2 linked regions of the Arabidopsis thaliana genome follow. The protein of the gene in region 2 interacts with the protein of the main gene of each other region in a pairwise test. Each region holds a gene or a part of one and is shown on either strand. Other genes may lie near its edges.

Region 1 (6,039 bases), on a different chromosome or scaffold from region 2:
ATTCGAACAATTCCTAAGCAAACATGATGAGGCTTAATCAGTTTTAACATTTAAAAAAAAAAAAAAAACGAAAAAGCATAGACAGCTAGTTATAACTTTGATGATAGTACTAGTGAAGATAAAATGCAGACACACTGGGCATGTGAAGCCAAAATATCTCCCTGTTTCCAACATAGAAAAGATACCAGTCTTGTTCAGGTAGTATAATCATCAAAGTTGTAGCAAATTTGTAACAACTAACCCAAGGAGATACTGCCATTATTCAAGAAATGCTAACCAATTCACAGAATAAACAGAGAGATGTACAAGAAAAAGTTTGAAGGCGACAAGAAACTAGGGATGAAATTGCCTTCTTATTAGCTGGAAAAAAGAACAAAACATACCTCACTTCGCTACAGACACCATAATGCGCAGATGTTATATAAGTTTCCAGCTCTATGTCATCTTTAAAAATTTTAGTAACTAGCTGCAAACAGAAGACACAGGGTCGATTAAACGTGTGACATATGAAGAGTAACTATCGATCTAGAATGCAGCATAAGATGAAGACGTGATGATGATTACCCGCAGTTCCGGAAACTTAAGAGACAAAATGTCGATCATGTTATTAGTTTCATCAGTGTCAGGTGCAAAAGCTAAAAAATCCCCCTCAGCAAGCAAAAGCTTCAAAACTTCTGGAAAACTAGGAGAGTTGCCTTTGCCCACTTCGACGACTGTATCTTTGTCTATGTTCCTTTCATGATCAACAGAACAAAATGCAGAAAACGAAATCAAAATCCAATTTTAGTACGAGAGAGAGAGAGGCTAGTGACGAGTGTAAAAAACTGATATCTTACGAGTGAGCCGGGTGAATTGTGGTGTCAACCCGTGTCCTGACGGCTATCAACAGCAACATTACAATAGTCGGAAGCAAAATCTGCCAATGAATAAGAGAAAGAAGCAAAATTTGATCAACAATTCGAAATTTTAAAAACAAAAATTGCATTCAGCATCAAGGAGAAGAAGACCCATTAAGACGAGCAGTGAATAAGCATGAAAACGACATAGTTTTGAGGAGCAAAGAAAAAGAGAGAAACCTCAGCTGAAGTAACGAAGGGATGACGAGTTTTGAGGAGCCAATTCTTGCGGAGCATGGCCTTGAATTGCCTCTTCGATGAACCCATTTTTCCTTGGAACCCAGAAAGAACCCTAGACGATAGATTCTAGTCTTGGCTTCAATAAGAAATCATACTTTTATGGTTCTTCTTTGGGAAAAGGCAAAGCAAAGTAGCAAACTAAGAAAGCAGAGAGAGGTGGCGAAGACTTGGGCTCACCTCACTGACATTTGTGCTTCCTTTTTTTTTTTTTTTTTTTTCCTGCCAATTTATTTGATTCATTAATCAATTTGATTATACAATCAAACAAAAGAATTTTGCAACTAGCTGCGGATAACACAAGTGGTCGACAAAAATAGAAGAATTCCGAAACTGTTTCATTTATTTACGGGACCTTTCTTCTTCTATCAAAAAACCCAAAAAATAAGGAGAAGATTAGATTAGTTGTCGTGATATTAAGAAGGTAATCTTATATTAAACCAAAAAAAAAGAAGAAGATAATCTTATAATTAATATATATAAGTACTTAAGTACAGTTGCTGATGTTGACCCAAATATAAATCTTTGCGTCAATGCCAAGTAGGGGTGGCTCTCTCACGGGCTCCACATTAAAAGCCTAGTGTAGTGTACGTGGAACATCCTGATTCGTTTTAGAGTTGCGTTACGCCAATTATATTACGACGAAAACGACGACGTTCCTAAGTTTGACGGCAAAGTATACGAATGTTTTTATTATTTTTCCGAAGGTTGCCAATAAAAGCCGCCATTAGAATTATTCCTTTCATTGCCACTCCCCAACTTGATTCTTATTTTTATTTTTATCAGTTGTGACACAACTTTAAAGAAATCCACCTTCATATTCAATCCTCAAAAATGCTGTTTTTTTTTAACACAGAAAAAAAACAATTTTTAGTAAAATTATATCAAATGTAGAATCAAAATGACACTATTTTCTTCAACTAAAAACAATGAAACTTTTTTTTTAATACCATTAACTTTTAATAATTTATCTGGATTTTTTCAAAATATATGATCAAATTTCAAGTAACATCTAAATATATGTTAAAGATGATTTTGTTTGGGCTGTCGTTTCCAAGGATATTTTTGTTATCCGCCAGAGACAAAAAAAATCTGTTATGAGAAGCGGGGCTACTGGGCCAGCTCTTTGTGGCCCATAATTTAGAAATATTTTAAAACTTATGTATTGTTTTTGTTTTTTTTAGGGTGCGATTTTCCCGACTAAACCAACTCTACTTGTCTGTACATGTGTGTTCGACTAAACAAAGTTACAATCGTCTTCTGCTTTGTTGTTCGTCCATCTTCTACAATCGAACCTACTTCCCTTAACATCCAATAAACCAGAGAATAAATTGATGGTTTTCGATTGTCTCCTGTTAGCTCGATTTCTCCGCCGGCGACTTTTGGGATCAAATTTGATTCTTCACGATTAAGATTGAATTCGCCATTAGGTAAAGCTGCTGAATTTTAAATGTCTAGCTCAAAATCCAAACCCAAAACAGGTCCCAATCTAAGAAAAGTATTCATTCGTCTTTGCCACCTGTACAACTTTTTAAGATTTTCGTTTTTTTCTCTATTGGTGAACAAGTGATTATTTTAGTCTACCTTTTTTTCGATTTCCACTAACTAAAACGCAAGTAAATTTTTATCTTTTGTTTTAAGGGATAGTGGAGGACAAAATCTTGAAAACTGTTTTTGGATCCCTTCACCAGGTCATTCTTATTCTGCTTCTGTAGAAAGTAATAAACTAAAGTCATAATCTATCATGAATATGTGAACTTTTTTGAATTTGTTGTCTTAGTATCAAAAAGCTATGGTTTTGAAGATTACAGCTAAACTTTTCAAACAGTGTCTTTAATAAGCATTAGGAATTTCTCGAATGTTTACTTGCCACATTGTTCGATTATCTCTTGTCTCTTTTTGCACATTCCTTCATGTCTTCTTTCTTGTGTGTGTGGCTGTGGCTTAAAATATGTGCAGGTGGAGCATCATTTAAGAATCTTATGCTTTGGCTACAACGCCTATGGATACGGGTCAAAGCAGCATAGAACCTTATCAAGCCAAGTCTTTTAGTCGGGAGAGCAGTGTAGCCTCTTCTTTAAGCTTATCACGTAGTTTGCCTCACCTAATTGACAATGACGTCGATAGTGAGAGTGTCTCAGAGGCAGGGGATATTGGGGACCGCTCACTTCGGAGAAGGCATAGTGCTGGTAGAAGCAGCCGTTTGTCTGCTGATGATTTTATAGAACAAGGGACTCATGATACTTCTCGTCAAGAACAAGATATATTACATGACCTTCGAGCTTTCAACACTGCTTCCGTAAATAAAACTTTGCCTGAGGACATAACAGCATCTCCTTTACCGACCAAGTCACTCTTGTCACCTGAAATAAACAACTCCGTAGAGACTACCTCTAACTTTGCATAGTCACATCATTGTTAGTATTGGTTTCTTTGTCCAATGTTTTGATCTATTGTAGCTCGTGGGTTGCACAGGGAAAGGAGGAAGAGCGAGTGTTACCAAAGTCCTTGGAGTACATATCATGCCTAATTCATTTGGCTGTTTTTGGGATTTTTGGGGTAAAATGCTTATTTTCCATTTTCTGTCTGTCTCTCTGTTGTGCTTTGTTTTTGTTTAAATCATTATAATCAACTCGTTGACTCCAAATATACAGGCCATTACGAGATATTTGCTGCAAAAATTGTTTGGGCCAACTGGTGCTCGAGTAACAAGTGATGGGAGCATCTTGTACCTTGATCTTCCCTCCAACATGGTGAAAGTCGCAATGCACTCATCTCAAACTTAATTACAAACCTATCTTTCTTAATAAAAATTCTCCAAATGCTTCCTTATAGGTAGGATCATTCTTGATGGGTTGGTTTGGCGTTGTATTCAAAGCAGATATAGCAAGAGTTTCTGAATTTGTGGCGATAGGATTATCGACTGGTTATTTGGGGAGTCTGACAACATTCAGCGGTTGGAACCAGAAAATGCTGGATCTTAGTGCTGATGGTCAATGGGTGTATGCTGTGCTTGGCTTTTTATTAGGTAAAAACAAAAAATTCCCTTCTCAATCTCCAATCACCTACTAAATTGGATGAAACATACTTGCTTACAGCATAAACGACTTTACAGGATTGTTTCTCACGTCATACTCCATAATTCTGGGAGTGGAAACGGCCAAAGGGTTTAAATGGCTTCTTCATAGAAGAGCTTCTTCTGAGGATAAATTCCATTGTCTTAAGGTTAACACCTTCCAGAGCCATATTGTGTCTCTGACCCTGATGCTTCTGTTGCTTGTGGCTTTACTCACTGCCAGTTCCATACTGCTTGTGAAAGAGTTTGACAAAGGAACAAGCGAGGCTCAGCTATGGTTTGGTTGCTTAGTTGCAGCCCCTGGTGTCTGGCTCAGATGGTTCTTAGCCCGACTCAATGGACGTGGGCTGGGAAAGGATAGTCAAAATTTGAGATGGGTCCCATTTGGCACCCTCATTGCAAATGTAGTTGCAGCTTGCGTTATGGCAGCATTGGCTACCTTGAAGAAATCGGTATAAACTTCCTCACCTCCTCTCTCTACCAAACAGATCAAATCACAAAAGATAACATTCATTGTATATATTTTGGGAAACAGGTGAACACGAGAACATGTAACACGGTTGCTTCGAGCATACAGTTTGGTCTGTTGGGATGTCTGAGCACAGTTTCGACCTTCATGGCTGAGTTCAATGCGATGAGAGAAAGTGATTACCCATGGAGAGCCTATGCGTATGCATCTTTTACCATTGTGGTTTCTTTTGCGATTGGAACTATTATATACTCAGTCCCTGTCTGGGTAATAGGATTCAGTTAGTTGTATCAAAGCTAGATAAGTCTTGTGCAGATGATGTGATAATACATAGTCGTAACATTTGGTAGAGATGAATAATTAGATCGGTCACAATCAAATTATATTATACCTTGTGCAGAAATATTAAGAGCAAACTTCTATACTATAATGATAACTTTTTTCTGTTTTACACAAAATATCATGATTCTATATTCCACACTGGAAAAAAAAAAACACAACCACTAACAAAACCTGTACATTCCTGCTTCAGACCATTGTCACACTTTTCCCAACTTTTTCTCCATAAAAGAGACAAAGAGATGTCAAGTCGACGAATTCATCTCAAAAAAGGAGAATCTGACATACATAAAGTCTAAAGGGAACGGCTCATTTCTCTTGTGGGAGGTAGCTGTACGTGGAACAGCTGGTCTCTGTCTTTGTCACCTGCAGAAGAAAGAGAGCCAAAGAAAATGACATAAGGAAGATGTGTTGTAGTAACCTCTGAAGTCTCTGGTTCTATAGATATATGACTACGAACCTCTGAAGTAAGAGAGGATCCTGAAGGAAGAAATGGTGTCCAGAGAATAGGGTCTGCAAGAGGATCCAATGTATTGTAGTTGGTGAGCAATGGAGCCGTTAAGAGAGAGGTAAGTGGGTACATGCTTTTCTGAAGAGACAAAGCAGCAGCACCGCCTAAAGCAACTCCATGACTCACAACTGGTTTCTCTATTGCCTTGCCGTTATTCTTCTCCATATTGATGATGTTACGGTTTGCATTCTCATCGTTTTCATTATTGCAGCTTTCTTGGATCTTCAACACTTTCTCCTCTAGGCTCTTGAAGGCAGGCGACTGAGACAAGATGCTTAAAGCAGAAGAGCTTGATGGTGATGATATTTCTTTTTCTTTTCTCTGAGTTCCACAAAGGACGCCAAGGTTTGGCGCCTTGTATGGTTCTGTTGCATGGGATGTGTGTTCCAGTGTTTTAAGCTCAGTACCAGCATCTTCGACGTTTGCATCCTCTGATGCTTTTGATGAAGATTCTGGTTGACGGTTCTTGTTGGCTCCCCACCACTTTATGTATCCTGTTAGATCAATCTTT
Region 2 (5,893 bases):
CACTTACTACTCTGTTTTAATCTGTTTCTACAAGTTGGCGATTTGTCTCTACACTTTTTTTGTGTCTTTTGCTCTTAACTGTTGTGTTTGTTATACGTGTAAGCCCGCCCAATGTGTCATGGCCGAACTTATTATGGTTACATATTTATGAAATGGGCTTCATTATCAATTGATTTGAGCCTACAAAAATGTAGCCATAAAGCCCATTAAGTTGTAATTGTTAATATTTCAGTCATAAATATGATTTTCTATATCTATGATTTATCTCTAGTGTTGATGATGTTTGTATGTGGAAGTCATGTTCTATTTGCTTCCACGGTTTAAAAACCATCAACTTGCTAAGGTCAAATTCTAATATTACTGTGAAAAACATTATTTACGTGCGTAATTATATGAATTTATGAATAGGTTTTAATTCCATTTTTTCCTAATAGTGTTTTATGTCAAAGAGTATCCCACTAATAAATTTATTGAACCCCATGTGCATATGTACCCAGTCTGGTACGAGTTGGAACATGAGATAAAGTTGTGGCAACTGCCCATGACTCGGTGTAAATGGTATATCACATGAAAAATTATAAGTCCAGATCACAATATGTTTTCTTCAAATAATTCGAAAAATTATCTAATCGATTTCCCTTTAAGCTTGAACTAAATAGTTTATCAGCACTAGTAATTCTTTCATACAAAATCTCTAAGCAAATATATATCTTTCTGGGTCAATGTTGTTTTTTCATATCTAAAATGTTTTTTCTTTCTCCTGTGAAGTAGGGTTATTAGTTAGTGGTTACCAACTTCACATTATAAAACTTCATATCTAATCAAATCGTGAAGTATTTGTCAGTCAATCGTGAGACGATATTCATGACCACTTTTGTCGTTGACTTTGTTTTTGGCTCAAAATTTTGGACGGCGATAAAAAATAAAACTCGTTGACATTGTTTTTTGGCTGAATCGTTGACTAGGATTCTGGGATAAGATGTGTAAAGAAGAAAACAAAAACCAATTTATTCACACGCAATCAACTATATATTTATACAAAAATTAGCAAAAGCAATAGTTTTATAGACATTTTTAAAACTTTGGAAATAAAGAAAAGTAGAAAGAAAGAAAAAAAGAAACTGATAGGTCTCATCTCAATTTGAGGCTCAAGAATTAACGAACAAACTAGAACAAGAACAAAGAAGAAGAAGTAGAAAAAAGGCGGGAAGTGGGGTCGACACTATTCAAGAAATTGCAACTTGACCCCAAACAATATTCAAATCAATCAATTTAGACCCCCAAAAAATCAGTCGGATACAGGATTTGGGGAGCCAGATGAATGAGAAACCTCCTCAATGAGTCTGGTGACTTCAGCCATCGAAGGACGACTATCTGGGAACTGAGCCGTACAGCTCATACCGATCTTCAATAAACGAATGATGTTCTCATTGCCCTCAGGTTGGTACCTTGTGAGCTCGGGATCAAGCACATCGGACGGTGTTTGTTGCTCGGTAACAGATTGGACCCATCTCGGCAAATCTACGCCTTCTTCATTCAACTGCTGATGCGTTGGAGACTTACCTGCAATGTAATGTTCCATGTTAAAACCTAGAAACCACAGCAATTGCAAAAAAAGCAGTTAAAAAGATATATCTATCCTTGATTGTTTGTTACCTGTGAGTAATTCAAGGATTAGGACGCCAAAGCTATAGACATCAGCTTTTTGGGATATTTTGCGAGCATCAGTGATTTCAGGGGCACGGTAGCCATCAATACGGTTAGGTGCAGATGTAGAACTAATGATGGGAGCAAGACCGTAATCAGAGACCTTAGCTTCATAGGAGTCAGATAATAGTATGTTCGAGGACTTAATGTTTCCATGAGAAGTTGTCCCATCACGCGAATGTAGGTAGCTAATCGCTCTTGCAGCTCCTAAGGCTATACCGGCTCTGGTTTCCCAGTTCAACGGAGTTCTCCCGTTTCCTTTGTTCCCTACAAATCCATTAAAAGAGCTTCAAAACCGAGCTTGAAGACACATAAGATAAACTAACTATGAAACAATTCAGTAATCAGTGTCAATTTTAGCCAAACCAGGTCCATCAAGATCACAAACTAGCATCAGCTAAACTAAGAACCCTAAAAATAAACAAATGCACAAATGGAGATTACTATTCTATACCGTGCAATATCGCAGACAAGCTTCCTTTAGACATGTACTCAAAGACAAGAAGCTTCTCGTCACGGCTGAAATAGTAAGCGATCAGAGTCACGAGATTGGCATGACTCATTGATCCCAAAACATGCAATCTCTCTCTGAACTCTTTCTCAGGCACCACAACATCTCTTAACCGTTTCACAGCCACCACTAACCCATGCTCAAAGCTTGCCTTATACGACGACCCAACTGTTCCTTTCCCAAGAACCTCAGCTGAAGCCTTCAACAATCCATCCAAATCGAATTCCCCGAAAGATTTCACGAAAAAGGTCAAATCTTTATTCACCGCACCACTCTCCGACCCCGTAGCCTTAGCCGGCGGGACAACAACCACCGTTTCCTTTGGTATAGCAGCGGAGGAAGTCGCAGCAGCGACAGGAGCTTCAACATTCCTAGATGGAACGTTCTCTTCTTTCTTTCTCTTTCTACAGAGACAGAACAGAATCAAAAGAAGCAGTAACAGACCAACAACACATCCGATCACAATCCCGACAATAGCTCCGGCGGATAACTTGTCGCTATCTTTCTTCTCCGGCGGCGTATTGGGTCCTCCAGCGTCACCACCATTGGGGCTCTCTGCCTCACAAGTGTCTAAAGGCTTCCCACAGAGAGTGTTACCTTCAAAAGCAGTTCGAGGCCAAGACGACAACGAACTCGGAATAGACCCGTTTAACTGATTAGAAGAAACATTGAATTGCTGAAGAGGAAGCGTGATCTCAGGGATCGGACCAGAGAGTTGATTCCTCTCCAAATACAGAGTAACCAACCGGGTCGCAGAATTGACATTATCCGGGATCCGACCCGAGAATTTATTCTCCCCTAGATTGATTCTGATTATGCTCGGAAGCGTGAAGAGAAGCGACGGAATCTCACCGGAAAAGGCATTACCTTGAAGATACAAGTAACGGAGGAGAACAAGGTTGGAGAAATCCGAAGGGATAGGACCAGAGAGAGAATTGAACCGGAGAGAAAGAGTCTTAAGCTGGGTTAGATTACCAATACCACCGATTGGTAAAGAACCGAATAAACCAGATCCGGGTAATCGGAGAGCCGTGACCCGACCCGCATCGCAGTGGACTCCGTGCCAATTACAAGGAGAAGAAGCACTCATGTTCCATAGCAAAGGACGGCCACGGACACTGTTACGAACAGCGAGTAAAGCTCTCCGGTCAGACTCTAGATCTGAAGTCACCGCAGCGAGATAGAAGACAAAGAGGAAGACAACAGAGAGACTTAGCTTACGCTTATACTTCATCTTCTTCTTCTTCTTCAAAAACCGTGTAAATTCTTCGTCTCCTTGGTTCCAAAAATTCAATAAATATATCGACTTTTTCGGATATGGGTTTTTGGAAAATTTATTTCGGCTACGCGTAAACGAGTGTTTGAACAAAGAGACTTTTGTGTTTTTTGGTTTACAAGAGTTTCAGCTCTGTCTTTCTTCTCTCTCTAGAGCCGGCTAAGAGAGAGAAAATGGTCATAATTGCAGAGAAAAAGGAAAAAAAGAAAAGTTACTAATTGGAATATTTCCTTTTTGACAAAAAAGTTAAAAGAGAATCTTATGTATTTAATTTGACAGCTAATTTACAGAAAGATAATTAATTAATTATAAGGTTATGACTTATGAATACTAGTTGTAACAATTTTATCAGAGTCAACTATATTTGCGTTACATAAATGACAATAAATCACTGCAGTAATGTTTTTTGTAGACGTTTAAACGACCTCTGTTTTTCCTTTCTTTTGTATTAGATCAATAAATTAGGTCTAATTAAAAAATTAATGGTCGTTATCGTTTTGTTTCTTTTATGTTTTTTTTTTTTGCAGGTTGAGTGTGACCAAAGACATGCCAGGTCTGTCAAATGTGTCTGAGCTACCGTTGACAAACAAAGATTAGCCTCTCCGACACCGTTTTTATTTCTGATATAAGTTTGTACCATAGACATTTTTTTTTTTTTTTTATGTATTTGTTGTATCAATTTGAAAGGAAGGTAATAGAAATGGTCAACAGAGAACTTAAGAAGTGGTATTCATTTTGAAGATTTCAATTGTTCAATTTTTAAAACTCTTACATCAAATTTATTTTAATAGAAGTGGTTGGTTTCTCGTGACTATTAACAAACATTCTTCCCAACCCGAAACCTAACCTCACCTAACTTTCAAGTTCAAATACAAATAGATGATGACTAATATAAGCTGATTTTCTCCCAACACCTTCTATAATTCACTCTTAACCTCTTCTTCATGGCTATGACCATGTTCGTCCAAATAAGAAACGGCCATAGCTGCGTGAAGAGCAGCCCCAACAGGAAGAGCTTCTTCATCAACAAAGAAGTAAGGCGAGTGAAGCGGCTTACCAGCGCCTAGCGTCTCATTCTTTACCCCCAGCACGAAAATCGCAGCCTTAGTCTTTTGAGTGAAGAAGCTGAAATCCTCTCCTCCCATTGTCACCGGGAAATCATGGAAGTTATTCTTTCCAATCATCGCTTCCGCTACTTTTTTACCGTGCTCGTATAAGCCCTCGTCGTTATTCATTACCGGGTGAAGCGACGGCTTTTTCTCTTCGAAGTTTACTTCTGCTTTGCATCGGTATACCGATGCTTGTGCCTCTGAAATCTGCATCATCATCAAGAAACATTTAAACAGGGTTAGGGACCTACATTATTCGAATAGTAGAACAAGATTGTATAGAAAAATGGTGTAAAAAACAATCTCTTTACCTCTTTGATCCGTCTTTGGATAAATAGAAGCCCATCGTTGCTTAAGCTTCTGAAAGTACCTCCAAATTTCGCACTCTGCGGTATTACGTTTTGAGCATGACCTCCTTCAATATATCCAACTGTAACCACCTGAGAAACATAAAAAAACCAATCTCCGCTGATTTCAGCCAAGATTCTGATTCATCAAACACCAATGCTTTGAAAGTGGAAAGCAAACTTACACCAGCTTCGAGTGGATCCAGTTCCCGCGAAACAATCTGTTGCAAGGCAACAACAGCGGAAGAAGCTGCAAGAACCGGGTCTTTAGAGAAGTGCGGTGTAGCTGCGTGGCTACCTTGACCGTGAACCGTGACTGTAAACAATCCTGCACCTGCAAGAACGGTCCCAGGCCTAGAACCAATACCACCTGATGGGATCGATGGAAAGACATGAACACTGAGTATCCCATCTAAGTCGTCTAGAATCTCGTCTTTTAGCATTTCATAAGCACCTGCATAACCTTCCTCGCCTGGTTGAAACACAAGTTTTACTGTCCCCTGTTGCAAAAAAATTGTGTTTTCGTTCAAAACCCTCATAAGATTCACCAAACTCTCATAAGACACACACACTAACAACTCTAGAAAACACACACACATAACAATTAGCAATCAAAGACATACACACACATATATCTAAGAATCTTAGAAAACACTAACCCACATCGAAATGAGTTTTAATTGCAGGGCACAGACAGAATCATTCAAAATTATACATATAAATTGAGTGAAAGAGAAAAAAGAGAGACCTTGATGAGGTGTTTTGTGGTTTGAAGAAGCTTAGCAGCACCAAGAAGCATAGCAACATGAGTATCATGACCACAAGCATGCATCTTTCCATCTACTTTACTTTTCGATTCCCATTCCACTAATTCCTTTTTTTGTCCCCATTTTTTCAAATTCATTAGTCAAACAAAGCAATCTAAAAATCAGAGTAAAAATCG

What was found. Proteins that work in one complex are often made in the same cells at the same time.
Region 1: the proteins of AT3G02880 (region 2) and AT2G41705 interact in a protein complementation assay, tested with the Arabidopsis thaliana proteins (one large-scale study listed by BioGRID).

The regions. Positions count from the first base shown.
Region 1 is NC_003071.7:17,394,948-17,400,986, forward strand, and holds AT2G41705 (camphor resistance CrcB family protein), read left to right. Parts: upstream 1-2,322; 5' UTR 2,323-2,563; exon of another isoform or gene 2,564-3,092; 5' UTR 3,093-3,135; coding exon 3,136-3,513; intron 3,514-3,608; coding exon 3,609-3,692; intron 3,693-3,787; coding exon 3,788-3,886; intron 3,887-3,968; coding exon 3,969-4,161; intron 4,162-4,248; coding exon 4,249-4,661; intron 4,662-4,744; coding exon 4,745-4,963; 3' UTR 4,964-5,134; downstream 5,135-6,039. Other genes in the region: ABCA1 (ATP-binding cassette A1), read right to left, coding at 1-13, 384-466, 565-733, 837-916, 1,077-1,163; AT2G41710 (Integrase-type DNA-binding superfamily protein), read right to left, coding at 5,313-6,039.
Region 2 is NC_003074.8:632,378-638,270, reverse strand, and holds AT3G02880 (Leucine-rich repeat protein kinase family protein), read right to left. Parts: upstream 3,807-5,893; 5' UTR 3,453-3,806; coding exon 2,162-3,452; intron 1,975-2,161; coding exon 1,657-1,974; intron 1,564-1,656; coding exon 1,289-1,563; 3' UTR 987-1,288; downstream 1-986. Other genes in the region: ILR1 (Peptidase M20/M25/M40 family protein), read right to left, coding at 4,412-4,810, 4,915-5,043, 5,136-5,450, 5,699-5,824.